3 linked regions of the Oreochromis niloticus genome follow. The protein of the gene in region 1 purifies or fractionates together with the protein of each later gene. This does not show direct contact. Links are inferred from orthologs where the notes say so. Each region holds a gene or a part of one and is shown on either strand. Other genes may lie near its edges. The genes, in order: stk11, cops8 and pip4k2aa.

Region 1 (10,510 bases):
ATTTTGGAAACAAGACCTGTGAACTGATGAAGTTAAACCAAACCGTTAGTAGTGCAAAGGGCAAAGGTACATGAGGAGGAAAAGGGCTGAACATTTTTATGAAACGAACCCTTCACCCACTGCTTAGTTTGGTGGCAGATGATGGCCATGGAGAATATTTTTCTGGCAGTGAAAACAATGAATTCTATGAAATACCTCCAAACTTCTAGAAGCAAACAACACACCATGTATAAGGCAGCTGAAGATAAATAGGGGAGACCAGCATTCTAAACACTCAAAAAAAAAAAAAAAACCCTTTAAGTTGTAATACTAGCCTGAGAAGATGTTACCAAGTACTAACTGTGTATATATTTTTACAAGATTTGCACATGTGGACACATCGGTTTTCCCCATTCTGCTGTGAACAAACTTTTCAAAGTTTATCAGGGGAGACAGGCCACAGACTTGGGACTGGACTCAGGCCTGGACGTAACCACTCAAAAAAAAAAAAAAACCCCAACAAAAAAACAAAACAAAAAAACACTTAAAAAAGGAAAATAAGTCAGTTTCTTAGTAGAAAATAAATGTCTCACCAGTTGCATTTATTTAGCCAACAATTGGTTTTCTCAGGATTTCTCATTTTGCATTTTCATTTTAACCTCTACCGTCACTTCTGGTCAGCTTGTGTGTTTTGTTTTGTTTTTTTTCCCCAGCCATCATTGACTTAGTGACCTTTACACAAGGACTTCTTTTTTATCCCTTACCCTAGTGAGATACTGAAACTCTAAAACGCTCTTGTAACGTTTTCCTTATCGGGACTTTTACGTAACACTGAAGATTTGCACACAATACTTTTTTATGATGATTTTCTTCCACCAGAAAATCAACACCAGTAACTGGACTTTGCATTTGTAGGTGTATTTAATTTGTTGCACTTTGATTACAAGTCTCAAGTGCTAATTACCAACACTACACCCCGGAGCCAGTAATGGGGTAGGAATGCAAATTTATTGTTTTGTGGTTCTCTGCTGACATTAAAACAGACTTTGTCTTAGTGGCGTTGTCAAATATTCCCACTCATACCATCGAAGACTCAACAGTGCAAAATAATAAATAAAAATCGAGCAGAAATAAATAAGTATTAACAACACTGAGGTGAACAGTGATAGATGGTGAATTGAGCTGATTGTATTCTCAAACTGCATCTCAGTGCAAAGGCAGCAGTACAGGTGAACAGTGCCAGTGAAGATACTAACAGCTGAGATTACAGCTGCTAAAAGGCTCTTTTATTCCCAGCAAACTAAAATGCAGTTTTAGATTATAAAGCATAGTTTTCTAGGACAAAATTTGTTTAAGTTAGATAAAACACGCCATTGCAATCCCAACAAAATGATTCTAACTGAGCTTACGGGCTTTTCATTGCTCTGCTGCTGTTGTGACTGCGGCCTAAAAAAACAAACAAACAAAAAAAACCCCCCCACATTATCTTGCAGCTTCTTTCTGTCTGGGTGAACTTGCTCTGACAGTTTTCTAAGGCTTACTCTATAATTAGCCCAGGCCCAAGGCGAAAGGCTGGAGTGATATTTAATAATACTGCTGTGATTAAAACTACTGATGCTCATCAAGAAATGTGGGATGCAAAAAAAGAAAAAAGGAAAAGAAGAAAAAAAGAATACACAGAAATGACAGCTAAATCACAGAGGCAGTGACACAAAGGAAAGGGAGCCCAAAGAACAGAAAACAATTACACAGTTACTAGAAAACCATCTACTACTCACAAACAAAAACAAAACAAAACACGTTAGTGGTTTGTATAATAATATTTGATGGCATATTTTTTTCTCTGTGCATGTTATGTAGATGCACTGGAATTAAATAACCGCTTTATTAAATGGATAAGTGAAGATCTGAGGTGAAGAGACAGTTTTGTTCCCCCATCACAGGGGGGATCGCGAATAAAAACTAAGTGTTAACAGAGTACGTTGATGAAAGTAATCAGGTTTCATGTTTATGTGACTACTGCAAAAAGCTGACAATGACCTATTGACGTGCATCTAAAAATCGCTGAATGCAGCATCCTCATGCAGCCTTTCGATGTCTCCTTCACATTTTAGCAAAAATACACAACCTTTTCCTGTGTTTTTTCCCCCTATCAAATAAAAACAAAACCACACATTTGTGCGTCGCTAATCAATCACTCTTCTCTTTTTTATGGCTAGGTGTCGAAAGTCATCTCTTAGGCCAGATCTGCAAGTTGGCCTTGCATTTACGCATGGTGTTTGGCATATGTGTGTGTGCCAGCTTTGACTGGGAGGTACCATTAGTGCAGCGACACAAACGCTATTGATATAACTGATATAATTCTACTCTTATTGACTTTGTTCATATAAATGACAGACGGATTACCCACCGCAATGATCAACTTCTCTTACATTTTAATGGCTGCACAAGCAGCACCTCACTCTCAGGACTCGAGAGTGATGCTGACTATGTAAAATTATCTTCGCTATGTCAATTGCTGGACAGGTTTGGCTTTGTTACGTGAGAAAAATAACAGTGTGTATTGAAATTAAATGTCTCAAACATATTACAGTATTCTGGTGTTTGGATTGAAACTAAGGCTTTGTGTCTGCCTTTTCCCCTTATCAGTTATGATTGGTAGGTTTCAAGTACAGTATCAGGTTTCTCATTTTAAAAATACAAATTAGGAGTTGTACATGTTCCGGAGAGGGAGCTGCATTTTTTTAAAGGCTGTGGCACACATTAAAACTCATAAGAAACTGATTTTACTGTTGGCAGGTTAAATAAATTTTCTGTGTAGTGACTAAAATTAATTATATTTTGATCATACACTGCAGGCATGCCACCTAGTTTTACCTAGTACAACCAACTAAAAAGACCTTACAAGACGCATGTGTGAAACAAGATAAAACAAATCAGGAAACACTCACTTTTTCACATTGGCTTCTCCATTAGGAATCCTCCTAAGCTTCTTCTTCTTCAGTATCTTGACAGCCCTGCGACAAAGAGTCTCTGAGTCCAGCATTTCTTTCACCTTGCCATAAGATCCTTCCCCGAGTAGATCCCCCATCAAGTACTTTCCTATCAGCTTTGCCCTCTTCCTCCGAGGCTGGTAGATCACCTCTGTAGAGTCAATGCGGTGAATAAAAGTATCCATCTCCATCAGTTCATTTTCATTTAGATAGTCAGACAGGTGAGGCAACTCGCCGGCACTCATGATTGACAGCTTGTACTTCCAGTGAAGGAAAAGGTTTGCGAATAGCTATGACTGCTGCTGTTAAGTAACCCACTGGTAACCTTTCAGCACCGAGGTGAGTATTTTAATTCTGCAGGATGAGTTACAAAATACTGAACATTGGAGAGGGAGTAATCAGGCCTGAGAGTTAAGGGGAGGAGGTGGGTGATCAAGCCCAATTTGTAAACTTTTTCACTCAAGAGGGGCGAAAAGGGGCTAAAAACCCTTGGAGTCCAGTACCGAGTTAGTGCTTTATACTGTGCATTTTTAACTAGATCTACAACAAGTGCGGTTGAACAGAAAACTGAAAAAAAAAAAAGCGATACTACAACGTTTTTCTTCTCCTTCACCAATTACCTCAGAATTAATACCCTACAGTCTTAAGCAGAGGCAACCAGTCTTGATTCAAGGCCACGCAGCACGGCATTTCTGTCAAGGGTCCATGCTGGATATCAGAGTTTTCTCAGGGTACATAAGTGTTTACAGCTGGATTGGATCCAAGCACAGATCTACAGCCTGAGCATGCAGCAGTATCACTCCAATCTCTGCTATCAGTGGGGCTCCTGGAGGTCGACTCCAGTGTCCAATGTGTTGAACTGTCCTCAGGTGTCCTCCATGTCACCCCGGTTTTTACTGCCCGGTGCCTGAAAATATGAGTAATTTAAACATTAATAAAAACACACACTTAAGTTAGCCATCTTTGGTAAACAATCGACAACACATCAACACCTAACCACCTTGAAATCCCGTGGTCAAAAAACAAAACAAAACTCGCCAGGTTATTCTTTCTATATGCAAACATAACAACCTCATATATATGTAAGGATTGTAGTTTACAAGTTTTTAGGCCGGAATAAATATTTTAAGTGTCAACTGTTGGCTAGCTGGTAAGCTAGTGCAGCAAGTCTGCTTGAATGAACTAGCCTGAAATGCCACTTTGCGGTCCGTCGGTAAGCACATATTCAGCAAGCACAGTAGGTTTCATCTCAGAGACATGCTTAAAAACAACAAACAGCAACTTAATTTGACAGTGAACTGACAGAGAACAGCTGGTAGGTGGGGGGATAACCAAAACGTCGTCATCCAGCTGGAGCTAACGGTGGCTGTGCACCTCCAGTACTAGCTAGCCAACTTTGCCTGACGTTTGGATTTAGCGTTAGCCAACTTCACCTCCTTTACCGGTGGAAGCGGAGGCAATAATGGGGACACACATTGTTCTCTAAAGACAAAGCATTACGCTGAGCCGACAGCAGAGACACCATCTTCAACATCTTCTACACTCAGAAGAAACGCACCAGATAAATTCAGCTAACGCAAGCTAACCGGAGTTGCGTTGGTTAGCATGCCTCTCAGATGCCAATGTAAATAGCGAGCTAGCTGATTAACAAGCTAACTAACTCCCGGTACCGGGTCTCACCTAGATCCAAATGAACCTCCTTTTCGCTGCAAGGTTTATCCTCTGTTGTGAGTCCGTCCCCAGTGAATAAATTATTTAACTTTAGTCTGACAAAATCTCAGTGATATTTTTTTTTCCCCCTGACTCTTCGTGTTACTCTTGCTTCTCAGGTTGTCGCCATCTTGTTTACCTACCCCCCCCTACTCGCAGGGACAGCCCATAGGTTAATGCGTCAAATCAAAGTTTTTTCCCCTCCAAACAATGTAGAGGAATGTCAACAACAGGGGAGTTTAATACAACAGCTGTAATCTTTCTCATTTAACTTTTATTAAGTGATTTTACCCCATTGTTATCTATGATCATTCATATTTCCCAGGAGGAGAGAGTATATTCTTGGCAAATGTAGTTCATTTTTCTCAAGCACTGATTACAAGAAAGAGAAATTGTTACCTGAGACAATTAATTAACCAATTAATCATTTATTCCAACTAAAAAATGTCAATCATTACTTGTTTCATCTTCTCAAATGTCAGGATTTATTTGCCTTCAAGATAAAGAATTTTTTAAGTATATTGTCAAAAGCTATTTTACATCCCTTTCACAATTCTCATAAATTTTAAGAGATCAAAAGATTAATGGATTATAATAATTGCACCCACTAATATCTGCCTTAAGAAATTTAATCCATCAAGAAAGCTTCATGCCATTAACCAGCAACTCTCGATTTACTTTCTACTTTCACTTAAGTTGCCTCTGATTGATTGTTTGGCTGAGGAGCAGCTCTTGCTTAGCTGGGATTTCTGAGTTATATTTATCCTGTCTAAACCTCTCTGGGGAATGGCAAACTGGAGCTCTGGTTTCACTGATTTGTCACTCCTCACCACTGGCTGCTTGAGCCTGGTCAAGCCTGCTTAATGACTCACTGCTGTACAGAGCCATGGCAGAATGATTACCGATCAAACTATCAAATACGATTACACGACTGCCTACACTTGGCACACAGGTATGTCATAAACTGAAAGTAAGATACTCTTGGCCCCTGCATGTCCACTAATAAATAGATTATAAACAAATAGGTATAAGTAGGTGAAAAGATAACTGCACATTTCAGGAAGTGGCTGTTTTATTGCAGAAACTGTAGCATATAGTGAAAATAATCGAAATTGTTACAGAACACAGTAAGCAAAATTATACAGAAAATTGTGTGCTAAAGCAGAAGTGAGTTTATTAGATGGTAAAGCAAAAAAATGTAATGAGTTTACTCATTATAGAAGTCGGGTGAGGACAGTATTTGTTACAGTCTTGAATTGAAATATAACACAGATGATCAAATACTGAAAGACGGTGTGTAATTACACCAAACAAACTAGAGAATCTACAGATCTTTATTCCATTTTCAAACTTCGTCATCCTCTTGGGCGCGCACACACACACACACACACACACACACACACACACACACACACACACACACACACAGTATTTCAAAATTTCTACTGTGCAACAGTGTTCATTTTGTAATGAAGCGGAGCTGTGGCAACTGGAGAAAAAAAGCTTTTAAGTTACAATAAAGAAGAACAAGTATAAACATAAACAGCTGTCTACATTAGTAATATGGTCTCCGTGGATTATTCTGTAAAAAGACAAAAGAAAAAGCAGATTAAATTCAAGCACAACAAAAGACTGTGTGTGGATGTGCAGCAGAAATCTTCTTTAAAAAGTCAATAGATCATAACACGGAAACAATGTGTGGCTTTCTTTATGCAAATCCAAATTATGTAAACAGTTTACATAAATTGGTGAAATTTTATAATGATAGAAAACATAAAAGAGATGTTACCAGTGGGTTGGGCCTGAAGCGGTAGGCGAGCATCATCCTCTTTCTAAAAGCGTCATATTCATCATCACCTTTTGTGAGCTCAGCTGGGCGGTCAATTCCAAATCCTGCTCCATTCATAGCCGTAGTTCCCCTGGAGTGAGACAGAGAGATCATAAAATAAGCCTTTTTTGTGTCTCTCTGATACGAGTGTTACAGTCTCTAATAATAACAACTGCTCTTCCAAATCAGAGGTGTAAATAATGAAAGTATTAATGAATGGCTACTGTGCATGTTGGCTCACTGTCAAACTCATGGCCTCCTGAGACAGCTGAATATAAACAGAGCCAGTGGTAATAGTGGCTCTGTTTATATTCAGCTATTTATACCTAAATAGGTCTGCTAATTCCTATTTAGGTAAAAACGCCTACAAGATTTACAAGCACACACTGTACACTGACTGCTAAGTAATACATTCCTGACCCTGTCATTACAGGGTCATTTAACGACACCAAATTATACTTTTATATACTTACTGCACTAAATGTTGAACTAATAATTCCTGCAATTTATGTATCAAAGTACCCTGTGACTGAAGCAGTAAATCAGGTGTAGTTTACATACACTCATCATGGGCATGAATTTCATGGTTATTTAGAATTTTTTCAACCGTTAGTCTTCCAGGATGGAGTGATTGTACAGCATATATTACTCTCTATCGACTTAAAAAACAAAACAAACAAAAAACAAAACAAGAAATGGTGCACAAGTTGGAATCTTTTTTATAACTGCCAAAGCTCAAGAACTGGAAACTGCTGGAACACCAGTGTCACTGTCCACACTGTTTTACATTGACATGGAGTGAGAGGGTACTGACCAATAAAGACGATGCTGCTCTAAAAAAAAAACCCAACACCTTCAAGATTATCCAAACCAAATTTCAGTCAAAGCAGGTTAACATTAAGCTGATGGAATGGCGTGCCCAAAGCCCCGACCTCAACCTTATTGAAAATCTGTAGACTATGTTTAAAAGCTGGGTTGTGGTAGAAAACCAGGCAATTTAAATGAACTGGTTTGACAATACCAAAAGTGTCTGGTTGAGGTGCAACTTGATAAGAGACATTTAACCAAATACAATTACAATCAATCCATCCTGAAAATTCACAGTTAAAAGAAATCATTTAAAGCCCCAATTTACCATGGCATTCATGTCCATGATTAGCATATGCAAACTTTTGCTCACAACAGCACTGAGTTCAGTTTAGTTTAAATATTAGAAGGATGATATTATAAGTAGAAATGCTCACTTGTTGACAGGAGCCTTTATTCCCTGTCCTTCACTGCCGAGGCCTTCGCCTTCTTTCCAGCCCATCTTCATGAGCATTCGGAAACCGAGATTCTCCACCGTCAACTTAAACTCTTTGTATTCTGAGTAGTCAGGGTCCCGACCCTCCTGTGAATCCAGGAGAAAAAGTTGAGCATTCATAACAAACAGAAGCAGCATTGTGTTTTGATTCAACACATTATTTTTTTATGACTGTAGGAATCATAATTCAGTTTTATTAGAAACACTCAAAAAATCCTAAAGATGTCGCATAAACATGAAGCAAATGGGACATGGAGACGGCTAAAATAAAGCAACAATGTTTATCATCCTTGGGAAGTGCACATGTACAGAAACAGGGAGTGTATATAGTTGATTATTAGTTCTGCACAGGTAAGTCATAGGTGTCTTCTATTGTTTAGTTGTTTTAAATGTTTAGAACATTATAGATGATGTAGATACATCATCAATAAGACTCAGCTTTCAGGCCTTCATCAAATACAGCCTGCAAAAACATACGTACTATAATAACCCAACAGTTATATTACATTTTCCTCAAAGACACTTGTCTTTGTTTATACGTGCTTAGACTCAAACTGTATTCTGTTTGCTATTTAAAAAGCCACATCCTGGAGCTGACTTTCTAACAACTTCCCATGCTTCTGGCAGACAAATTACGTTCATAGTGTTCATTTTTTCAGCTTTGATACTTTTTGATGAGATAATAACAGTGCCAAATCACACAGATTTCTTTTTAAAGTAGCAATTATAGTCTGTTCCTAGGGGACTTTCAGAAAGGGATGAGGAATGTGCTGGGAAATGGGCAGTCTGGGTTCAACTGCTGAGGCATTTCAGAAAAACCTCAGCTCTACTAATAGATATGCATGCCTTTCTTGGTCAAAAAGCCACTAAAAATTATACTTAATATATATATATATATATATATATATATAAACTGATTTACAAGGGCCTAATTTAGCAATCCTTTCTTTTCCCCGGAAATAACATGCATGATGCATTAAGCAAATCCTGATATTTCCTTCCCAACTTGGGGAAGTGTTGAATTCAAATGAAAACTGACCTTTAGTGCCTTGAAAGTCTCCATAAACTTCTCCAGCTCCTCTGGGGGCAGGAAGTCACCAATAAAGTGCTTCCCTTTACCCATTTCTGTCAGAGATTCAGCCCATTCTGGAACAGACATTTAATTTTTTTTTTTAAATCAGAAAGGATCACATACTAAGTCTTCAAAAGCCTATAGAGTTAAAGTGTATATGAATGATTTTCCAGGCTGCTGGTAAAACTCACCGCGAGTCTTCTCCATTTCCATCTTTCGGAGCCGATGTTCCCAGGTCCCCGCTTGCTGGTCCACCTCTTCATCGCTGTCATACTCGTGCTGATGCTCTCTTATGGCCTTCTCCCACATCACCTGCATGTCTGCCATCGCACGCTTGTGCTTCATAATCATGTCATACATCTCTTGCATCTGCAAAAAAACAACGCCTGCTCAGTTAGCAACACGTACGTTGTTAGGAACTTCCTGGAAATTATAATATTGTTTGATTTGAAAGAAATTTAAAAGACTAAAGCAACAACACTATGTATTCTTTTTTAATACTTCCATACCTCTTGTTGTTCTTTCAATTGTCTCTTCTGGTCCTCAGATAATTCTGTCACTCCAACCAGACCAAGAGGCTTCCCTTTTTTATAACCCAGACCTCTCAGCTCCTGGGCTAAAACGGGGAATATCCATTAGTATGTATAATGCTAGCAATCTCAATTTTTCATTAATCGTCAAACTATCTTGCTGGGCTCAATGTTCAGATGACTTTATGAAATATGGCTATGAGCATTAGCATGCATAAGTTGGAAAATATTTAACAATATTTGTTGTCAGCTGCAAAGCACATAACACTGTCTTCTGAAAGAATTGCACAAGAAAAAGGTTTGGGATTAAATTAATATTCATCCCCTACAAATAAACACATGAACAGTACTTGCACATTTGTAGAGTAAATACCAGAAAGTGATGGTGCGTTAGGGTCTGGAAGACTGTTCTCATGAGGAACAACAATTGGAGGAATAGGCAGGTCGACTTTGTCATCTTCAGACCCCCATCTGCTCTTCCTCTTTCGTTTCACAGGTGGGGGTTCTGACTCCTTAAAGTTAAGTGCAGATGGCTGGCTCTGCTGTGGAGAGAATTCTGGTACTGGAAAAGCAGCTGGTGGCTTAACAGCTGTCCTAGAATCTCCTGTTAAATCTGCAGAGTTCTGAGAGTTTGCAGCACGATACTCCTTTACTTTCTCTTTGTAGAAACGGTGGGCTGGACTTTGTTCATCATATAAAAAACTGAAGGACAGAAGATTCATACAGTTCAGACGAACTATTAAAAAAGAAAATGTGAGACATGCAGGACACAGAAACAGATATGAACACTTACCTGAAGGCTGGGTTGTTTCGGTTGCGCTCAGCAGCGATGGCTTCCACCTCTGGGCCACCCTCCGCCACAAACTTGGCCAGCTTCTCAGCCACCTGCTGGGTTTCCGCGTCCACTGGGGGGGAGACTTTAAGCAGCCTATTAGTACTGGGAGTCAATTCACACTCTACTACTGTACCGTACTCAACTGGCCCTCATACACCACCAGTCTAGAGCCAATAGGGGATAAGAAAAGGAAAAGGGAAGGAGGAGCAAGGGGGACAGGGGTGGTGAATGGGGAACTGTATGGATTTGAGGCTTTTACT
Region 2 (10,675 bases), on another chromosome or scaffold:
GTCAATGATATTTTCCACCAGCAGGTTTCGCTGAAGCCCGTGCACACCATGGCGGTCGAGCACAACCTCAAACCGGCAGGTAGGGCAGCGAAAGACGCCGCCAGAAAAGCGATACGGGTTGCGCGAATCATAGAGGTCACTGGCACAGCTACGGCACAGGTTGTGCTGGCAAGGCAGGATGACCACAGGCTTTGTGAACATGTCCAGGCAGATGGGGCAGCTCAGCTGCTTCTCAAGGCTATCCATGGGGCTTGGGGGCCGAACCACAGATCCTGTCCTCTGGATGTCCATTTCGTAAAGTTTTATGTGTACACCTAGACTAGCAAGCCTTCTGTTCTCACAAGGAGAAAGCTAAAAGCTGAGTCGCTAAAACAGAGTGCAGCGTCTAAGAACTTCTCCTGTCGGTGTGCCGTACTTGAAATGCTGATATCTATTCTGGTTGAGAGCTAGCAGCTCTGTCCTTTATACTGGACACTCACAGCTGGTGACACCCGATCCTTTCCACCAGGCATTCCTACCCGCTTGCTAGCCTAGGATCTTTTCACAGAAACGCCCCCTTCTACCCATTGCAGCATGTGTCACATGTCCCAGTGGGCGCCGAGTCCCCTCTAACAGTGACCCAAGTGGCCAACTGAGCACAGACAAACAGGGTCCATGTGACCGGCTCAGAGGAGCTCGACCTGAGAAAGGGGGCTCAGTATTATTGGTAAACAAGTCTGTGTCAAGATCCTGTGACTTGGCTGTTTTTCCATTTGATTTCTTTTAATTTATCTGCTCAATGTGCCAATTTATGTAACCGGTTCTGTTTAGTAAATGGAGTGACTGTACACATATACTACAGAAAAACACTTTTCATATGTTTTAGATTAAACTAACTGATAACAGCAAATGGCTGAGGATCAATTATGTTTATTAAACTACCACTGACACAACATTTAAGCCTCTTCTTTTCTAAATGACAATTTATCTGCTGGTCTCTTTCTTTTGCAATGCTTATACTTCAGCACTGGAACCTGATGCTTTTAATAATAAAATCCACACTTTAGTGAGACTGTTAAATTAAATTAAATTTAAGGTAAGATGATGATATATTTGATTACTTTTTGGGTTCTCAATATATTTAATGTCTTCCTTTTGTGGCTTTGATTTAAACAGATTTATTAAAAAATATTCAGATTAATTTATATGTTTGGAAATGTATTCTTTTAACACATTGATGGAAAAAATATATATTATGCAATATTCTAATTAGTCTGAGCAGTATGATAGTCATGGATACACTCAGTACACTAAGTGCCTGGAAGTACGGTCAGATTGCATTGATTGTAATCTTGAATAAATGCTGCAGTTCTTGACTGTTGCGCATTTTTTGTTAATGTTTATTCACACGTCCACTAAGCAGTTATGACCAGTGGTTGCTTAATTGTGCTATGACATACTGTACTGAGCATTAATATCAGATCAACACACAGTGTCATAAACATATGTGAGAAGCTATTCTTAAACTGTTGCACAATGTAATTGACACATGATACAAATGCAGCTAGAACTGTGACGATCAGATGATATAAATTTATGACCTGATGTTTCTAGAAAATCATTCCTTTGAAGTTGAGAAGGTGATGTGAAAAACAGGCGAAAGTATGTAGGTATGCAACCACCTTCTTAATATGCAAGTACTCTGTTGTGGATATCTGATGTACCCTTCATGACCATGAGGGTTTCTGTTTATTTTCCCATTGCTTTGTTGCATCATAGCCCTGACTGGGTTCAGCTGTTGCCCCCTGCTGGCAGTTATTCTAAATCATTTAGGAAACTTTTTTAAAATACTGAACTCACTTAAACGTGCTGACAGAATATGTTGCCTTAGTTTCTAGTTTCAACAGAGCCAAAGTTATATATTAGATAAAGAATTTGTGGAAGTATAATTAATCTGAAAAGTTTTTTAACAGGTCAATGTGATGCACGAGAAGTCAGCTGGTGTTTTTAACATTTTTTGGTTACCTCTAAGGGCCTCCATGACATGAAGAATATTCTCCGACCACTGATAAGCAGCAATGGCTGTGTAGATCCCTGGAAAGTCTCTCTGCCAAATACGCTGGCCCACTGCCCAAATAGCTGCTAATTCAGGATTTGCCTGCAGGAAACAAGTGAGAAGCATTTCAAACACAATCAGAATGCAACACTTGACCAGGCAGTGGTTTTAATGCTACTGTGAAGAGCATTCACACCCCAATATATATGTAAGACTGTTGGATCATAATGGTTCCATCATCCTTAAATTGTCTTTTCTTGGACTCTGCAAGAAGTCATGACTTGATTGGCAGTACCATAATTCCATTTATTTCATAGTGCTCTTGGTTGTCTTAGCAGGTCCAAAAAGTTTTCCAGTGGGGCAAATTGATCTGCCAGGACTTAAGATCATTTTGTCACACAAGTAAAAATTCCAATTACATGTGTTCTTAGTTACTTACATGTACAGTTGAGCAACTTTTCTATAAACATGAAACTGGTTGTGTCGGGGTGGTAAAAAATGTTTGCCCTTAATATTAAATATGGTGCAGGCACCACAATGGCAAAAAGCTGATGAAAAACACAGACCATACATTTCTAACTTCTAAGCTGGAGCTGGAATACAATTCCTTATTATCAGATTGTTCTGAAAGCTCCCTGAAAAGCCTCCAAAGCAAACAGAGACTAGAAAAAGAAATCTTTATTCCATATTAGCCTCTCTCCATTGGCTCCTTGTACCATCCCTTTGTCATGCTATGATAAATCTGGCTGCTCAGTCATTAAAGGACTTCTCCACTCCACAAGTTTGTCTTTTCTCATTAAATTAACCAGTCACATGACATTAACAAAATGCTATTCAAATTGAGCATTCGAATGAGGAAGAAAGGTAACACAAGACACTTTGAACGTGACATGGTTGGAGATGTCAGATGGGCTGGTCTGAGTATTTAGGAAACTTCTGATCTGCTGGGATTTTTCCCCACATCTCTAGGATTTACACTGAATTTTCAGAAAAAAGGAAAATATCAAATGAGTGCCACTTCTTGTTGATGACAGAGTTTAGAGGAGAATGGTCACACTGATTTGAGCTGATAGGAAGGCAAATCCAATGGCCTCCACAGTCACCATATCTTAAGCAAGTACAGCGTTTTAGTTGCAGAACAGGAGATTTGTCATCGATAAACACCCAACAAATCTGCACTGTGTGATGACCTCATGTCAACATTGACCAAAACCTCTAAAACCACTAAGAAATTTTTCCAGCACCTTGTTGAATTTATGGCACGAAGAATTAAGGCAGCTCTGAAGACAAAAGAGGGTCCATACAGTACTAGCAAAGTGTACCTTACAAAGTGTCTAGTAACTGTATACATGACAGTATGAGTAGGTTTAAAAAATGTAATAAAACCAACATTGGATTTTAAAGTAAACAGCATTTACTGTTCACATTTACATGCTCAAATGTTATTTCTTTAGCAGTGTTTACACATGTTTTAACAAGCTTACCGATTTTATTGCTTGGGGAATCCTCTTCCATAGATACCTGGCATTATTCCTGTTAGGAAAACACACATTCATAATACAGATACAGGCACAGGCAGCAAAAAGGGGCTCATCAACTAAATTGAGTTCAGCTGCCTGCAATCTGAGACAAAAATATACATTTAAATGTATTTTTTAACATAAATACATAGACATCAGATATCAGTGACTTACATGTCATTATTAAGTAAATAGAGCGCCAGCAGCTGAGCGTAGACCTGAGGTGTTGCAATGCCCCCTGGAGCCTGTTACAAAGAAATGCAGGTGTGCGATTAAACATTGGAGCTAAAACAAGCGGAAAACTGAACAAATGTTACTTCTCAGAGAAAACAGGTTATTATTATTGTCTTATTATTGTCATAATAAAAAAAAAATAGTCGCTGATGTTCACCCAGCCAACAGCAAGCGTCCAGTTAATAGTTTTAGCTCCTGCTAACATTACAGTAGTGGTCTCGCTCACTTATTCTTATACTATAAACTGTCAGTCCGAAAGCTGCATGCAGGCAGGCAGATAGACAGACAGACTGTCAACACAGGTAAGACTTAAAGGTTCTTAAATCAAACACATAACCTGCAGATATGTTCCAATTTAACGGAGAGATTATGACCGCTAACTTCCTACTATCTGCTGGCAGGTAAAGGCAAAGATCAAGCAAAGAGCAGTCCAACATGAACACGCTGCTACAGCCTATATCTCATTTTTAACGTGAGAATGTTTCGCCTACGAGTTAACGTGTTTGATAAGTTGATTTCCCAGAGCTTTAAGGTAGGCTACACACAGGCTAGGTTTTGTAGCCAGTACGCTAGCCTAAAATCTGTAGAAACCGCACCGTTCCCATCATGCTTTCAAAGCCACAAAGTCTCTGAGACCTTCCTGTTCATATTTAAGATCACAAAGTCCTTACCTCGAGCTCTTGGGCTTCACACTGCTCTAATAATTTATCAAAATTTTCCTCCATAATCACAGCAGTAGGCATGATGATGCCTAGCTGTTGCACCGGAAACTTCTGCTTCTTCTTCTTCTTTGGTGTCTTAGCCGTATTATTACGAGTCCGACGTCGGGTGTGTGCTCACTGGCGTCCTCGGCTGGCTGTAAGGCAAACTGCAGTGAAATACAACTGAACCAAAATAGTAACATAAATAAAGCATAGATAAATAAACTCCAAACAAAAGAGAGAACATATAAGAAGAAAAATAATTTTAATAGAAAAGTCAAAAGGAAGTCTGCATTCACAAATCAAAGAAATCTAAACCCTAAATCCAGAGAGCATCCTGAGGGTATACAATTTTGCTGATATACTTTGGATGTGAAAGGTCACTCCTAATAATTAAAAGTTCTTTTAATTGATCAAATTTGTTTTGTTATGACACAAGTTGTCTCTTCTAGTCTGACAATGACCCTTACACAGTGCATGAGAATGGGTCATAGAATGGTTTGATGTCTATGTGAATCACATGCTATGGCCTCACATTTTTTTCCAAATGGAGATCCTGGACACTGCTGGAGGAGACTCAGAGCTGTGGGATTCTGAAAAAATGACAACTAGCATTTTTTTTTTCACTAAAAAACAAATATTTGCCATTGGTGACGAGCAAAAACCTGTCAGTGCAACAAATTTCACCCTAAAGCTGCCCTAATACATTTTCCCCCAAAGCTGTATGACAAACATGTCTGAGTTACACAGAGGAAGACTGGAGTCAATGCAATCAAACTGTTTATCAGAGGGATATGTGTGATTTTTAGAACACTGGAGCCTAACATTAGTAGCCATAATGTTAGCTTACAACCAGGTGTTGTTTTGCTGGCTTGTTGTCACTTGTGCAGAGACAGGAGCGTTGTGTGTGTAATCTTGTAACAGTAAGTAATAAGCTAATATCAGGAATAAATAAGCACATTTATGCACTTTTTGTGTGGTCAAAAGATTAAGAGGAAAACACTTTAAAAATAATCGAGAAAACTCCTACAGTGTTCATCAAACACATAACTATACTAAGATTTTTGTGGACAATGAAAGAAAGATGATGACAGCTTTTTACTAGATTTTGAAAATGTGATACTTGCAAATGAGCTTAAATATATTATAAATGGGAAAAATCTTACAAGCTATGTACAACAAATGAGCCAGCTAATCTGAGACGAAGGTCTGACTCGTTGTTAAAGATATTTGCAGTAACTATTGTTTCTTTAAGTAAATTTAGAGTTTAATGAGTTTTATTCATATAAAAGTTCTTGTCATTATTATTAAATGCTGTGGTTCGGCAACGTTAAGATATACGTGCAAGTTTAGATTTATTGGTACTTCTACCAGGGAAACTATCACTCTTTAAAACACTCCCAGTGCTGAGAGATACTTTTTTTCTCTTAATTCACTAATGATCTTCCCGCCAGTGGTGGGCATTCCTCTATTTTAATTCCTTTTGATCTTTTCTTTGCCTTTGATGGTGGTGACTACACATACCTTTTTATCCCATCCACCTCTAAAAAATTAGCTTGGCAACTGAGACACAGCTCTCATGTGTTTTCTTTATTTTGACAGATATTCTACTGTTGATATAGAAAATTTATCATTCTCCAAACTTCTGACTTTTTTATCTGCATTGAGGGTGGTATTTTGCAATCTTAAGGAACACTAAATGTGTAAAAACAAACAAAAAACACCCCTCAGACATCTTTTTCACACTTTAATTACAACATTTTTGAATTACTTAAAAAATCTAGTTGTACTGACAAATCTGAGATTTTTAAAACTCTTTTTTAATGTCACAACCTCCAAAATATTTGTTTTTATCATTGCTGAACACAACATGCACTAATCAATTTATCAGCTTCACAAGCTCTTTTTAATCTCTATGGAAATAATAGAAATCTTGTAAAACAACGCATATGGACCAATTTCCATTTCATGTTCCACAGAATTGTTCCAGGGGGTTTTATGGAGAGTATGCGAGATTACTTAGTTAGACGGTCTGGGGAGGATGTGTGGAATGGGGACACTGATCTGTTTTGCACTAGCAAACAAACTCATGGGCAGGCAGCTGAGTAGAGTTGGTGTGGTCAGCAACAGGCATGACAGCTGAAGAGCAGAAATACGGGATTCCACTCACAGGCAGATTTTCAGCTGCCCGACCCAACCCTGACACGAGAGGGAGTGGAAAATCAAAACAGCAAACAGATTATCACATTTCTAGGAATCTTTTTGTTGATTTAACTTCATGGAAGGCATATCAGATATCTGGCATTGTCCCTGATTGTCAGGAGGTATCCCAGATGTGCTTCAGGTAGACTTAAAGAGCTACTGGAGGTATACAGGGTAGAAATATGACTACGATGCGATCTTGTAATGTGAAAGCAGTTTGATATACCCTTGAAATTGAGTTTTAGAAGAGCTGGAACTTATTTATTGCTTTCCAGGAATTGATGTTAAGTTAGACATTTAATTTGTGTCTTACATTGATTCTCATTCTCCTGCTTACCTGTTTACCAACTTTGAACTTGCTTTTACATCTATGCTTTGCTCTCTTAAAATTCCTTTAATGCACACAAATTTAAAAAAAAATCTATTTGTGTCTGAATTACCTTCTGTAACTTTCTGAAATCTTCATTGGCAAGAATGAAAAGTCTCATCTAATGTTCTGCTAATTTCACCATGAGATAAGACTGGACCTTCCTATTACATTACAGTCACAGTACTACAGTTCTCAGCAGCCACTTATTATAAACCTAGAAGACTGTTTTCAGATGTGCTACCTTGACCCTCCTGTCACATCCTCAATAAATGAATAAAGTATATAGGGACCATAATCCCTGTTATGGTGTAGGCCAAAGGAAAGGATCAAAGAAATGCAAAGCAGCGGTGTTAATAGTTTAATAATGCTGAAAGAGAATCCCATAAACACATGAATGAATCACATTCCACCACATAAAGGACATCAGAACAGCTTCTTTCTCTGAAGTGTGGATAACATAGAATAGAATATAAAGAATAATAATAAAAACAGATTTTATTTACTTAGCTTCTCCTCTCTAAATGTATCTCAGTGTTCAGCTCTGAGAAGAAATCCCCATGTGCCGGATCAGTGGAATTCATGAGGACTTTTGATGTTCCTAATTTTTTATATTCGTGAAAGATTCAGCTCCAGACATTATTGAGACTCTCTGACTCAATCAAATGTTGACATGGGGAAAACATTTTAAAAAACTCATCTTAAGAGCCTCATAAACTGTCAGGTCTTGCAGATTGAGGACCCAAATGCAGGCTCTAAAAGGCAGGCGGAAATAACACAAAACGACCTTTTATTTCAAGTTGAGGAAAAACAGCACGTAAATGGTGAAAACACAGACAACAATAGTGAACACAACAAAATAATTAATACGTAGAACTGGAAAAATATAAAGACCATAAGTTAAAAAAGAAATCAAAACCCTGAGGGATAATTAGACTCAGTAATAATAACAGAAATTGTCCTGATAAATTAAAGTCAAAATGTAGACAATAAACCAAGTACAAAACAAAAAAGCCAAACAAAAAAAGACCCTGAAGGCAGAAGAATTCCCAAGGAGTCCTACGACGAAAATCCAGGACCATGAGATAAACACCCTATTATAAAAATAACTCTGTGATTTCTGTAAGAGAAAACACTGTTAATGATGTGATGTTGTATGGCTTTAGTTCCACAACTAAGAGCTGCTAGGCTTCTATAAATAACTGAGAAAATGGGTCTTTGATCTCTGAATTGTAAGAGTTTAATGACACTGAACGCATGACTGTCTTTGGGCAGAAGGATGCACTGAGAGGAATTGTTGGGTTGCTTATTTTCACTTAACAAAAATGAATGCAGGTGTCTCATGTTCTCCAAATCTTACCTTATTGTGTCCTTTTTAACAAGATTAGATATTAGAAGAATATTAGAAGATGGGAATACATTTTTACTAATACTAATTTTTAATATTAGTTATGCTCAGCTTGAATCAGAAGGAAAAGAAGGAAGCTTAAAAAAAATCTATATTTTCTGTTGTCTACATTGTAGAGGGTGACTTTACCTCTGAAGGGGAAAAGGGGAGTAGGGAGGAGGTTAAAGTGGGATTCAGCAGGTGGGGAACCCTAACATCAGTTGTAGCCACTCAGTGTGGGGAAAAGTGGGTCACAATAGGTGAATTTTCTTAGTGTACAGCATGTGATCAGCTGATATGGATATGCACTGAGGTTCACTGCTCTTTGTGGATGTAGACAATTTTGTTGTACGCAATCCAACAACATGTACGTAGATGTTTCAGTCAGTGTAGGGGATGGAGAACCGTTTATACTAACTTTATACTAGATTGTATAAAGTTGGTATGAATCATGTAAACATCATCAGCTTAATTTCAGATTCATCTCTGCTAAACTTGATTGTAACCTAACTCGCACCACAGTCACTGTACACCAGTCACACACTGTTCTATTGTGTGTGACTGGTGTTCTGTTCTGTTTAAAACCATCACAGTACAGCAAACTGACCTGTTTATTTTGTGCTAACCTGCAGAGTATTTTCATGTAGTCTTTAAATAAAATAGTCTACCCTAGTTAACAGGTCCAAACAGAAAGATCTGGGTTGACCAGGTTTGAAGCTGATCAGTGTCTCTGAGCCTATAGGAATCATAAGCTGCCTATACCACTGGTCTTCTTCTTCAGTCACTATCCCAAACTCAGGGTCTGACTGGTAAATTAAATAGTTTATTTCAGTTTAAATCAGTTTCTTGAATGTATTCATTTTCTTTCTCAAGTTACTGGTAGATGAGGCTTAGATGCCAAAGCTACTTGATTTAGCTGGATTGCAGAGTCAAGCAGATCTCTTCACAGTATTTACCAACTCTTAGAAAGCCTTTCTGGTAGAAGGCAAACTGCCAAGAGCAACACCAGTTTTCTTATTAGGGATACTGAGGCTGATGACAATGGTGGAGATTGTATATGCACTCATTCACATGATTGCAAAAGATATCCCCCTCAAAATATCATTTGTTTTAACCCTCTTGAACAGTTGACTAGCTCTGTTATTTCTGGTCAGATCAGCCTGGTAATTTTTGAATTTGCTGTCTTTGTTGTTCTTTTGTTGTCATAATGCCTCATATGCGCCTTATTGTATAACTCTTTCAATAAGGAATATTAAAGAGGAGGAAGAAAAACAAAGTGCCAATGACACAGTCTTGTCATCTCTCCCCTTTACATTGTGTGAACACCGTTGTGTCAACCTGAGTTATTACTCTGTGGGCTTACAGAAAAGGACAATGCAGCCGCTTTGGGGAGTCATTTCCTTGGGGAACAGGAGAATTGTTCTGTGATGATTACTTGTAACCTCTGGGCTATTATTTGAACGGAGTGTCCACTTTTTAAATGCCAGATAGGGCTGGAGGTCTGCTTGACTGATTAAGCCATTTGTTGAATGCTCTGTGCAATTTGTTTGCAGGTTTTCAAAACCACTTGAGCACACAGCTTGACTGTAAGCTGCTATTTCAGCGCAAGAATCAGTCAGAATGAGACTAGTTTTATTATCTCAATCTTGGAATTTTAAGGATATTGTATAGCGTTTTCATATTTAAAAAAAATATTGTGTTACATGTGTCAATTTTGGATCCTGTTTTCCAAGGAAATAGGTAACACTTCAGTGATAACTGCCAGCAAACCCAGTTAGGAAGTAATTTACATGAATTACTTCCATAACTCATAAACATGGGGGTCAATTCTTCTGGTTGCTATAAGACGTCAGATTGTATGTCATGTTACTGAAAAATGACTCAACTTTTCACTTGATTTATGTCTTAATTAAATAGTTTAATCGGTTCATAGTGTCAATCACTACTTTAAGGTCGTCCCTTTCTCCATTAGCTGGTAAATTCAAGTTGGCCTTGTATGTGTTATGTATATGATTTATTAGAAATACAAGGATCTGAATCCAGCGTTACAGCAAACAGTAATTTAAATCAACAATCAAGCTTAATAAATTTATTTGAGGATCATTTTATATGGAGTTCAGTACCCAGAGATCAATAAACTCCCGTCTATGTTACACAACTATACGTTCTCATTTCAGACTTTCTTCCTTTCATTGTTGTTTCTAAAAGGTACTCTGGGGGATCTGGATG
Region 3 (10,044 bases), on another chromosome or scaffold:
CTTTTTTTAGTTCATGTTACTTTTGCAATCTCCTTGCTGCAGGGAGTGACCTTTAGCTCGGGCTGACCCATAATAACCAACCCAACATTAGTCTGTGAGAAGAGTGTTAGTTCACTGGTTGGTTGCCAGGAAAACAAAACAAAACAACAAAACTCAAAGTCTCACTGAAGTGTTAAAAGTCACTTACAGATAGATATTACTGTTTACACAGCTGGTTCCTCCATTTATTAATTTTATACACGTCAGGCAGGAAATCCAAACAGCGGGTTTATTGCAAGAGTAAACGATAGCCCCAATAGAGCGGCAAACCCCACAGGCAAACATTCACCTACCATTTATCAACCTCAAACATGGCTTATCATGTTAAATGCACAAAAAGCCCAATAATAGCCAATTAAACACTCATTCTACTATTGGAACAGAGTCCTTGCTGACTGTTGCTTTAATGGTATCATTAACTGGCGGCTTCCTGTGTAGTGTTGTAAAATTTAGATTTTTAAGGCTTATACTAGAGTTCTGTATCTCTGTAATTATGCATAGTGTTACCAAGGTTATGTAACAGCTCAAATATAATATGATATAATAGCTCTCAGCTCTGGAATTAACAGCAGTTTTAGATGCTCCCTATACATACAATTATAATTATTTTAATAAAAAAATGAATGATGCATGGATAAACAGTTTAAAAATGGATGGATGGCTATCATAAATGTGCATGAGTAGCTAACTACTTGTCAACAAGGCAAATTTGGTAAGGGGTGGCCCTACTTATATCAATACTTGATGGCCTAAACACTCTTTGGCAGCAACTCAGTGGCTCAATCAAGTGATCTGACATGGAATGTAATTTTTACGTAGCTGATAGTATGACAAGCTGAGTACCTGCTGAGAAAAACTGCAGGAGAAGTAGCCTAAGGCATAACAAGGGAATGTGCTGACGATTCCAGTGCACTGTTGAGCAATCCGAGTACAGTTGGAACATGTATTCAATGATTCTTCAAACTCTAGGATTTTATGGTTACAAGCCACTGACCCATAATGTTTCAGCAGACAGGTGACACAGCACAAAAGTAGACACCTAAATCAGACAAATGATTATGATATAATCCTAGCTTTGACATGCATGGACAAACACACAAATGATTTTCTCCTAAATTTACTGATGTGACAAAAAAAAAAAAAAAAAAAAAAAAATCCATGATATAACCATAAATTTTTATTGAAGGGTTTTAAGAGCTTGGTGGCCATCTAGCTGATGCAATTGCTTACATCATATCTGATCAGCAAAACCAGTAAAGTGAGGACAAATGGCATATATTTATATACATTTATCTTTTGTAGGCACTTCAATGACATTGAAAAAGAGAATGACTAATTTGTAGTGCATAGCTTCACAGAGGTAAAACTCTTGTGTTTCTTACTTTGAGCCTTCAGGCTTAACACTAACCAAAGCTGCTACAGACTACAGCTTAGATAAAGAATGAAAGCTTCAGATCTTTAGCTGCCTTGGCATCATGTATGTCAGACTATTCTGAGGTCCTGTAATCCACACTAAACTGCCACCCTGAACCCTACTCCAAAAATCAAATGCTGCAGAGTAAAAAACTAAATTGTAACACATTCTCATAAAGACTTTCCCCTCAATCTGCCCACAGTGCTGCAAGTATGTCAAATATCCACCAAATACTCCTCAACCTGCCTCAACCTGACATATTTTTTTTAATTTGTCAAAAGGAAAAGAGATGTCATTAGAAGACACTCCATTCATTCTTAATTAATTTGCTACCATGCAAAATTCTTATTGTTGTTATATTACTATATATATGAATAACAGGCAGAGAAAAATAAAGTGTGAGAAATTACAGCATCAGTTACAATCAAAGAATAAAAGTTACTGCCATCATTGTTAAAAAAATCTATAACTAACATAAAAATAAACGTGTGTGCTTAATAAATATATGAATGCTGCTGCTCAGCTCATTTGGCTATACCTTGGAAATCAGTTCTCCTCAATCAGTCTGGTGCCAAAAGATTGGCCCTACAGTTATAACTCTGCTATAATTACGATTTAAAAAAAAAAAAAAATGGGCAAAAATCAAGGATAAGCTATATACTAAAACTGTAACAAAAAAGGAGCTGCCAGAAGTACAGCTTACCTGCCTCGGTCAGTTAAGCATCATCTATTCGTAGCCTAAATCTTTTTGCAAAACACCGCTTACAGGTTTAATACTTGTGGTTTGGTGCCAGAAATATTTGCATGTGCTCTGTCTGCCAAGTTGTGTGCTTTTTCCAACATCTGAGAAGTGGCCAAGTGCAGCAATTATTCAGCAAAGGAAGAGAAAGACAGCAGAGATAAGCTGTCTTGCATGGGAAGATCTGCTCTCTCATGACACAGAGCCCTAGGAGCTTATCCTACATGTGCACAACAGGAAGCCAAAGAGAGTTCACCGCACACGAACACACGCGCGCATGCATGCATCAAAACCACGGACTAATAAGATCCACGACATTACTATTGCAACTACAAAAAGCTCACTAAAGCAAACATTACTAATGGGTTGCGCTAATTGAAGCCAGTCCTGTATTTACGGTGACAGTTCAGTGAACCGCTGGACAGCTGTCACCTCGTATTTTTACTCAGCTGCAGTAACACAAAAGCTGATATCTGACAGCAAGTGAGCCTTAATGTGGAACATCAAAAGATCGAGGGAGACATGACCGTAGATCATCACAGTGACAGTGGACGGTCTGACTCACCGAGTGGTTGACTCCCCACATGAGCACGCTGAGCAGAGGGTCGCTGGCACGGAAGAGCTTCACTTTTTGGGCAACGAAGTGTTTTTTCTTGGTCTTGGTTTTGCTCGCAATGGATGCGGCAATGCTGCTCGCCGAAGCCATCTTTAAGAAAACTGGCTGGTTTATTGCAGACTGTGCGATAATCCCGACAGCGTGTCTTCCCTTGAAGCTGGCACAGCGGCCACCAGCTCACGGTTCAGCAATGTCAGTACTATTCATTTAGCCAGCCCAGCAAACCAAGGTGCCCCAATTCTTTTCTTCATCTAAAGTCCCACAGAGCTCGACTGTCGCTGTGGCCCTAGCTCGAAAGAGACTAACGTGAGGAAATACGAAGCGTTTAGCCTAATACTGCTTGCTCTTCTTCACTTAACCGTCATACGCTTCTCCGCCTGCCCACATCATAAGTCACCACTCTTCCTTCCTTGACTCTCGACTGGAGCTCTCCGCACCTCCTGCGACGTAAAGTCTCACCCAGGTAGCGTTAGCATAGCCGAGAATAGCTTGTTAGCTAGCAAACATCAAAGCTAAATTTCGTAAAAACAGTAAACGTACGGAGGATGAACAATTGTTAAGCCCCCGTGGCAAATGACCCAGAGAACACGAGCTTGTTTTTTTAAATATTAAAATAATAGCACATTAGAAATGCTGAAGGGTAGATAGACGCTTAGAACTACCAGCTAACATGAGCCTCCCCGACCTTCTCTAACCAAATGACGGCGAGAAGCAGAAGCGGACTCCGTTCACCAGCTATCAAGCAGTAGCCTGCAAGCTAACTATTGCCATTAGCCAGCTGCTCGGTGACTAGCGAGCGGCTCAGCCCTCCTCCTACGCGTTTGTACTTAGTCCACAGAGATGACAGGGCGTGTATCCTGCGATGTCCTTGCCCGGTTTAAATGAAAACATTGAGGAGCAAATATTTCGACGTTACAAGAATATCAACGTTTGGTCCACTCCCGCAGCGTTGATGTTCATGTGCGCTGCAACTGACAGCTCGGCGGATGGGAGGTGACGGGCTGAGCTTTGCAGTGTCTCCTGCTCTGATTCGCTGCTACTCCTGCCCTCCACTACCGGGCCCATGTTACCTTTCTGTTGTATTTTAATAGCTCAAGAGCTTTTCTATATTAGTCTATATGTGGCATTTGGATTTACCCTTCTTGTCAGCAACAAAAAGGTTATAACTGAATGAAAACTGTACACTTTTTCAGTCAGGCTGCCCTACATGACTGATTTCTTCACCCACCCCCGTTTTTTGCAGCCTCTTTAATAGTAATGGATTAGCAGAGACGTGCACCATCCAAGTCAATATATATATATATGTATATCTCCACACCATCAGAGATAATGTCTTTGGAGGTCATTTGGTCTTCTGGTGCATACTATGCTGTTTCCACTGGCACAATGCTGTGTCAGTGCCTCTGTAAAAGCAGGAGGCTTCAATGTGCTGATGCGATATAGAGCTCATTTGTTTTATGGCTCACCCTTCACGGCAGCACATTTCTTTTCATATTGACTGAGCTCTATTTATATTGAATTAAAATATATGTTTGACAGATATATATATATATATATATATATATATATGTATATATATGTGTGTGTGTGTGTGTGTGTGTATTAAACATGTAATATGTGACAAAGCAGGGCTGTAAAACTAAATTCTAAATTATTCTAGTGAATGAATGCAAATTATTTATAATTTATGATAATTTAATGATGGAATGTGCTTTCTTCCAAACTTAAGTGTAATTCAATGAACAGATTCAAGGACAACTGAGGAGCTTTCCAAATCTTAGTAGTTCTCAATAGTAAACTACACAGTGTCATTAGAAAACAGCACAGAACCTTTAGTTGTCTGGTTCACCCCTCCATAGGTCATGCAAGTTGTGTTTTCAATAAATAAAATAATGTAATAGACACTTATACATCTAATTGCCAGACTGTTCTGTTGTCCTTTAAAGATTTAGACCCCAATCCATTGAGCTCCAGTTCATTTTACATGCACTTTTTGATGGCTACTGACACATTTGCTACAATGTCCCAATGATGATTTTAGTGGTATTATTCACAACCCCTTCACCTGACCTCACGCTCACTCAACATAAACTTGTGCCCTCCTCGTTGTTACCCAGGATTTATTCTACCAGTTTGTGTAAATGTGTGTGTGATATGTTCAAAAACACACAAACAACATAGCTAATACCTGTCAGTAGCATTGCCTTTTTTGCGTGTCTTAGCATTTCCTTGTTGGACTATACTGTTTTTTTTTCTTTTTACTTTACTTGGATAAATAACCACCGAATATATTTTTGTTCCGAGTCCCGATTACATAAATGCATTGTCAGTGTTTCCGAAGTAAACTGCTAAGACAATAGGAGCCATAACTTTTTGCAACAGGTTAAAATAACGATTGTTTAGACCATTATTTAGTTCCACATGGCACCCGTTGCCTGGCAACGTTGCGTCAACCTCCTTTTCCAAAACACAGTACGGTGAAGTTATTGTTGTCGGTTTAAAACCTCGAAGTTGCCTCTTAGTTTGGAAAGAAAAAGTAAGTCGTGGTTCATTTTTGAGATAGTAATTAGAGAGCTTGCCATATGCCTGTTTTGTAAGCTTAATCTGTCGACAGTGCTACTGAGTAGTGGCATAGTAGCATAACTAGCTAGCTAGCTAGCTTTATGGGTTCACAGAGTTGAACGCATTGAACCATTATTGGACCGCTGCCTCTCATCAATATTGCTCCTCCTTAGGCCATAATATGGGAAAGAAGTCGAGGAACGAGAGGGAAACGCCAGTCAAGGAAACGGTGAGTGACGAATGTTTCTTTAGGTGTTGGCAAAACCTAATTAATGCATTTTTGAACCTTTGACAAGGTTTAATTCATGTCCACACACAGCCTACTGTACATCCCGGGAACATATCAATAAAAAAGCATGCACAACTCTCTGATTGGAACTACTACTATGGAACTTGATTCATTGGGCCTTGGCATCATAGGTCATTAAGACTGATATACAAGCAGGTATTTGTGTCAACAAATCATGATTATTCTAACTACACAAAAATTAATGAATGAAATTTGAATTTGCTTTATTAGTACATATCAAATGCTCTGATTGACACATCAAAAGCATTGACTGATAGTAAAGAATATATTTGTGAGGAGGTAAGAATGATCAGTTTCTTGCATGGTGAAACATCCCCTTTCCCAGTGGATAATTTCTTGGAAGGAATAAATTGACACTAACAGTCTGAAGAAAGCTAAAGAGGGAGTGTGAAACTGAAAGGGAAAAAAAAAACAGATGTCATGCTCAAAAGTGTGTCCATCTGCCACTACAATAAAAAAGTCTTTGACTTCATTCCAGATGATGAAGTTTTCTGATGTTCTGATGATAAAAATAGACATGTACTTTGAAATTGTGGCTTGGTCTTTAGTAGGCCTTGGGCACAAAATTGTTTGAAAACGGCATCAGGATATCATGTGCATGTACATGTTCTCAGGTTGTTGCCTGTTGGTACATGCTGGGCATTGAGATATGTCCTGTCTCATTGTCCTAGAAGTATGAAAATCAAAAAGACAGACCTGACTTTATACATTTTTTTTTTGCAAACACTCCTTCTCCTTGTTGACTCTCACAGTTTGAGCCGCTACCCCTTGAGAGCAAAGCCCCAGCAACAGTAGTGCTGCTGTTGAACTCCCCAGAGGAGGACATTTTAATCAAAGCGTGTGAAGCGATCCAGACATTTGCAGAAAAAGGTATGGTAGGGTACCCACCGCTAACCCTTCCACATATTATTTATTGTTTTTATTTCTATGGGCAACCTTGCAGCTGAATAGCAGAAAATCCGTACAGATAATTTAGCTTTCAGGCTGATGTTTTGTAATGGTGTATTTTTTTGATATGCATTTTTTTAAATCCAGAAATTGCAACATTTGCAATTCACTTCATCACCATCTGCCTAATTTTCCTGTTCACTGTCTCCCCCTGTTGTTAGGAGATGAGAACAAGGTTTCTCTGCTGGGACTTGGGGCATTAGCGCCTCTCTGCCAACTCATTACTCACAACAACAAGCTGGTCAGACGCAATGCCTTCATGGCCTTGGGCATCATGGCCACCAATGGTGCGTCAGACCAGTTACGTCATTGATGCAGATTCGACTGCAGTGGACTTGGTGGCTTACAAGCTCATGCGACAATCTTGATTCTACAAATGACCCTTTAGTTTACCGGCCATCTATGTGTTTGTCAGGAATTTGTATCTGTTAATCTACCAGATGTTGGATTCCCTGTTCTGTTGATTTAACAATGAGCAGGGTGCTAGCCTTACTGAGTAACTGAGTAGTGTCTCTTGTTTAAATCTGAAAGGTGATGTAAGGACTGCGTTGAAAAAATTAGATGCCATTCCATCAATTATTGAAAAACTATCACTCGAAGGTGAGTAATAGATTTTACAAGATTAAGATATATTTGGATCACTAAAGCAAACAGTATCACTTTGTATAAGTTGCATACAATCAAAATAGAGCACATGTGTTTACTTATGGCAATAGGCAGTATTTCTGTGATCAATCCTTATTTATTTCTGGTTCTCGTCATATGATCAAATTCCATTTTTGTTCAAGATGATACAGTTGTCCACGAGTTTGCAACACTGTGCCTGGCTTCTCTGTCAGAGGATTTCCTCTGTAAGGCCCAGATCTTTGACAACAAGGGGCTGCCAACTCTAATTCAGCTGCTGTCTAGTTCTGACCCAGATGTCAAGAAGAATTCACTAGAGACCATCTCCAACCTAGTACAGGTGACCCAAAATCATCAGGCTTTAGGATTTTATTTTATGTAAAAATTATAAGGATTTTCACTGTGAAAAATTAACGTGATGTTTAATAGTCCTAAAAGACAATACAGTTGTCTTCACATATTTACTGAATCCCTGAACTTTTCTAGATATAACGTGACAGAGGTACATGTGACAGTGCAGATGTTTAATGCTGTAGAATGTGTTTAACTTGTCAGCTCTGCAAGGGAAAGTATTTATTATGTCCAGTTTCATCTATGTGATAATAGCGCAGGTAATAACTCTGGTGTCAGTGGTCACACTGTGTTCTGCCTCCCTCCTGCTCTACTAAGGCAGCACTGCTGCCAAACCTAAAGTATTTCTTAGTAATGAGAATGCAGTTAATGCGAACTGTTTCCTGCTGTGCGCTATGTGTGAGAAAGAGCAACTTCACAAAGTCCTGACCTATTTCTCCCAACATTTACAGATTTCATGAGTGAAAACAGCTTCAAATTTGCTCCTAGGATTGTTGAAAAAAATGCTTTCAACATTTTTGTGAACCTTTTGCAACCTCTGCTGTTTTGTCCCCATGAAGGACTACAAAAGCCGCCTGGTCGTACACGAATTAGGTGGGATCCCTCCACTTCTGCAGCTCTTAAATTCGGAATTCCCTGTCATTCAGCATTTGGCTTTAAAGACGTTGCAACATGTCACTACTGACAGAGATGCAAACAAAACCTTCAGGGACAAGCAGGGATTTGAGAAGCTTATGGGTATCCTGAATAATGTGGTAGGTATATGGTTTAGGTAACATATGTCTTCATTCTGTTGGTTTGTGTTAATAAGAATAAAATAATAGAGAATCCTTTAAAATCTGTGTCCTCTGGACCTATCTTTTTATTTCTCACAGAACTTCAGTGACCTACATGCTGAGGCCTTGCATGTCCTGGCTAACTGCTTGAGTGACAGTGAAAGTGTCCAACTCATTCACAAGAGTGGAGGACTGACCAAGTTGATGGAATTTGTCCTCACTCCCAGTGTGCCTGAAATCCGGTCAGGTGTTATTAAATGCATCACCAGGGTGGCTCAGAGCTGTAAGCACAGAAGGCAATTAGAGACAACAGATTTCTTTCAACTTTCCCACATAATTTACTCCTTTTCATTTATTCTGTTATGCGTGTGTGTATGCGGGTGCATGCCTGTGTGTTTAGCTGAGAGCTGCAAAGTGCTTCACGAGCAGGATGTGGAGACGGTTCTGGTTGAGCTTCTGTCCTTGGAGAACACTGGTGTGATAACGTCTGCCTGTCAGGCTGTGGCCGCCTTGAGCTTCCACGTAAACAGCAAAGAACGCTTCAGAGAACTTGGCACGTACATCTTCACCGAGCCACCCTGAGATTAGGTGCAGTCAGCACAACAAAGTGTAACTGAGTTGGATTCCTTTGTGTTTCAGGTTGTATCAGTGTCCTGGTTCAACTGCTGAGCAGGGAGAGTTTGGCACTGAGAGAGGCGGCAACCCAGGCCCTCTCCAACCTCACTCATAACAGCGCGTCAAATGCCTTGTGAGTGACGGGGGACTTTGATGTCTTACCTATACCTCATTGTTTTTGTACAGAAATATGCACTTCTTTTAACAATTCAAAATTTATGGAATTATGTATAAAAACATCTACAACAAACAAGGCAGTTTAAAGACACAGAATGAGGCATACGAGACAATTTGTATAATAAGTTACTGGGTAATATTTATTTGTCAGACATCCAGCACACACTGTCTGGTTCATATCGATCATTCAGGTGTGCTGGGACACCCCTGTCCCCAAGAAGACAAAGTATTGGTGACCTGGGCAAATCACACTTCAACCCTTGGCCCATATAATCCCAAACATCTCTCAGAAAAGGAAGAAGTTTTGAAAATTCCCATAATGCATGCACATAAGTGCCTGTTTTTGTCTTTTATGTCCAGCATAAAGCATCCAAATATGATTTTTTTGGTAAACTTCTAGACCCTTTTAGTTGTTTTCCCATTATTAGCTACATAAAATACATAAAATCTGAATGAGTTCAGGGATTTAAAGGTGTGTGTTCTACTCTGGACTAGAATGCTGTCCTCCCCTTTTTTCATAAAAATGAGACACGGAATCTCTTTACTTCTTTTCCATTCTCTTCTCCACTCTTGTCTTATACATTTTTTTCCAGACAAGTCTCCTTCGAACCCCCGAACCCACACATTGTATGCTTGGAAATAATATGCTTTAACAACGTATAAATTAGTAAAACTACAGTAACTGTCAGCCGTCTAACTTTTCATTAAACCTCCCTCCCTGTTTATTGTATTTTCCAGTGAAGTGTATGAGGAAGGTGGCGACAAGCTCCTCGTCCAGCAACTGTATCAAAGCTGTCCAAAGATAGTGGCCAATTCTGCTGCCACACTTTGCAACATGGCAGAACATGAGATCATCCGCTGTAGCATCTTGTC

What was found.
Region 2: the proteins of stk11 (region 1) and cops8 purify together in Homo sapiens (affinity purification with mass spectrometry; 3 studies listed by BioGRID and IntAct, with this or other methods). This does not show direct contact. The link is inferred for Oreochromis niloticus from reciprocal best matches to the Homo sapiens genes STK11 and COPS8.
Region 3: the proteins of stk11 (region 1) and pip4k2aa purify together in Homo sapiens (affinity purification with mass spectrometry; 3 studies listed by BioGRID and IntAct, counting the BioPlex papers as one, with this or other methods). This does not show direct contact. The link is inferred for Oreochromis niloticus from reciprocal best matches to the Homo sapiens genes STK11 and PIP4K2A.

The regions. Positions count from the first base shown.
Region 1 is NC_031982.2:13,190,429-13,200,938, reverse strand, and holds the start of stk11 (serine/threonine-protein kinase STK11), read right to left. Parts: upstream 4,870-10,510; 5' UTR 4,653-4,869; intron 4,495-4,652; exon of another isoform or gene 4,276-4,494; intron 3,880-4,275; 5' UTR 3,218-3,879; coding exon 2,931-3,217; intron 1-2,930. Other genes in the region: sugp1 (SURP and G-patch domain-containing protein 1), read right to left, coding at 6,238-6,264, 6,472-6,601, 7,755-7,900, 8,853-8,959, 9,077-9,254, 9,395-9,501, 9,789-10,117, 10,209-10,332. UniProt on the Homo sapiens protein: Tumor suppressor serine/threonine-protein kinase that controls the activity of AMP-activated protein kinase (AMPK) family members, thereby playing a role in various processes such as cell metabolism, cell polarity, apoptosis and DNA damage response.
Region 2 is NC_031987.2:7,709,271-7,719,945, forward strand, and holds the start of cops8 (COP9 signalosome complex subunit 8), read right to left. Parts: upstream 4,613-10,675; 5' UTR 4,533-4,612; coding exon 4,461-4,532; intron 3,801-4,460; coding exon 3,730-3,800; intron 3,569-3,729; coding exon 3,520-3,568; intron 2,138-3,519; coding exon 2,005-2,137; intron 1,025-2,004; exon of another isoform or gene 292-1,024; coding exon of another isoform or gene 1-291. Other genes in the region: E3 ubiquitin-protein ligase TRIM63, read right to left, coding at 1-291. UniProt on the Homo sapiens protein: Component of the COP9 signalosome complex (CSN), a complex involved in various cellular and developmental processes.
Region 3 is NC_031974.2:21,797,139-21,807,182, forward strand, and holds the start of pip4k2aa (phosphatidylinositol 5-phosphate 4-kinase type-2 alpha), read right to left. Parts: upstream 3,844-10,044; 5' UTR 2,899-3,843; coding exon 2,758-2,898; intron 1-2,757. UniProt on the Homo sapiens protein: Catalyzes the phosphorylation of phosphatidylinositol 5-phosphate (PtdIns5P) on the fourth hydroxyl of the myo-inositol ring, to form phosphatidylinositol 4,5-bisphosphate (PtdIns(4,5)P2). Has both ATP- and GTP-dependent kinase activities.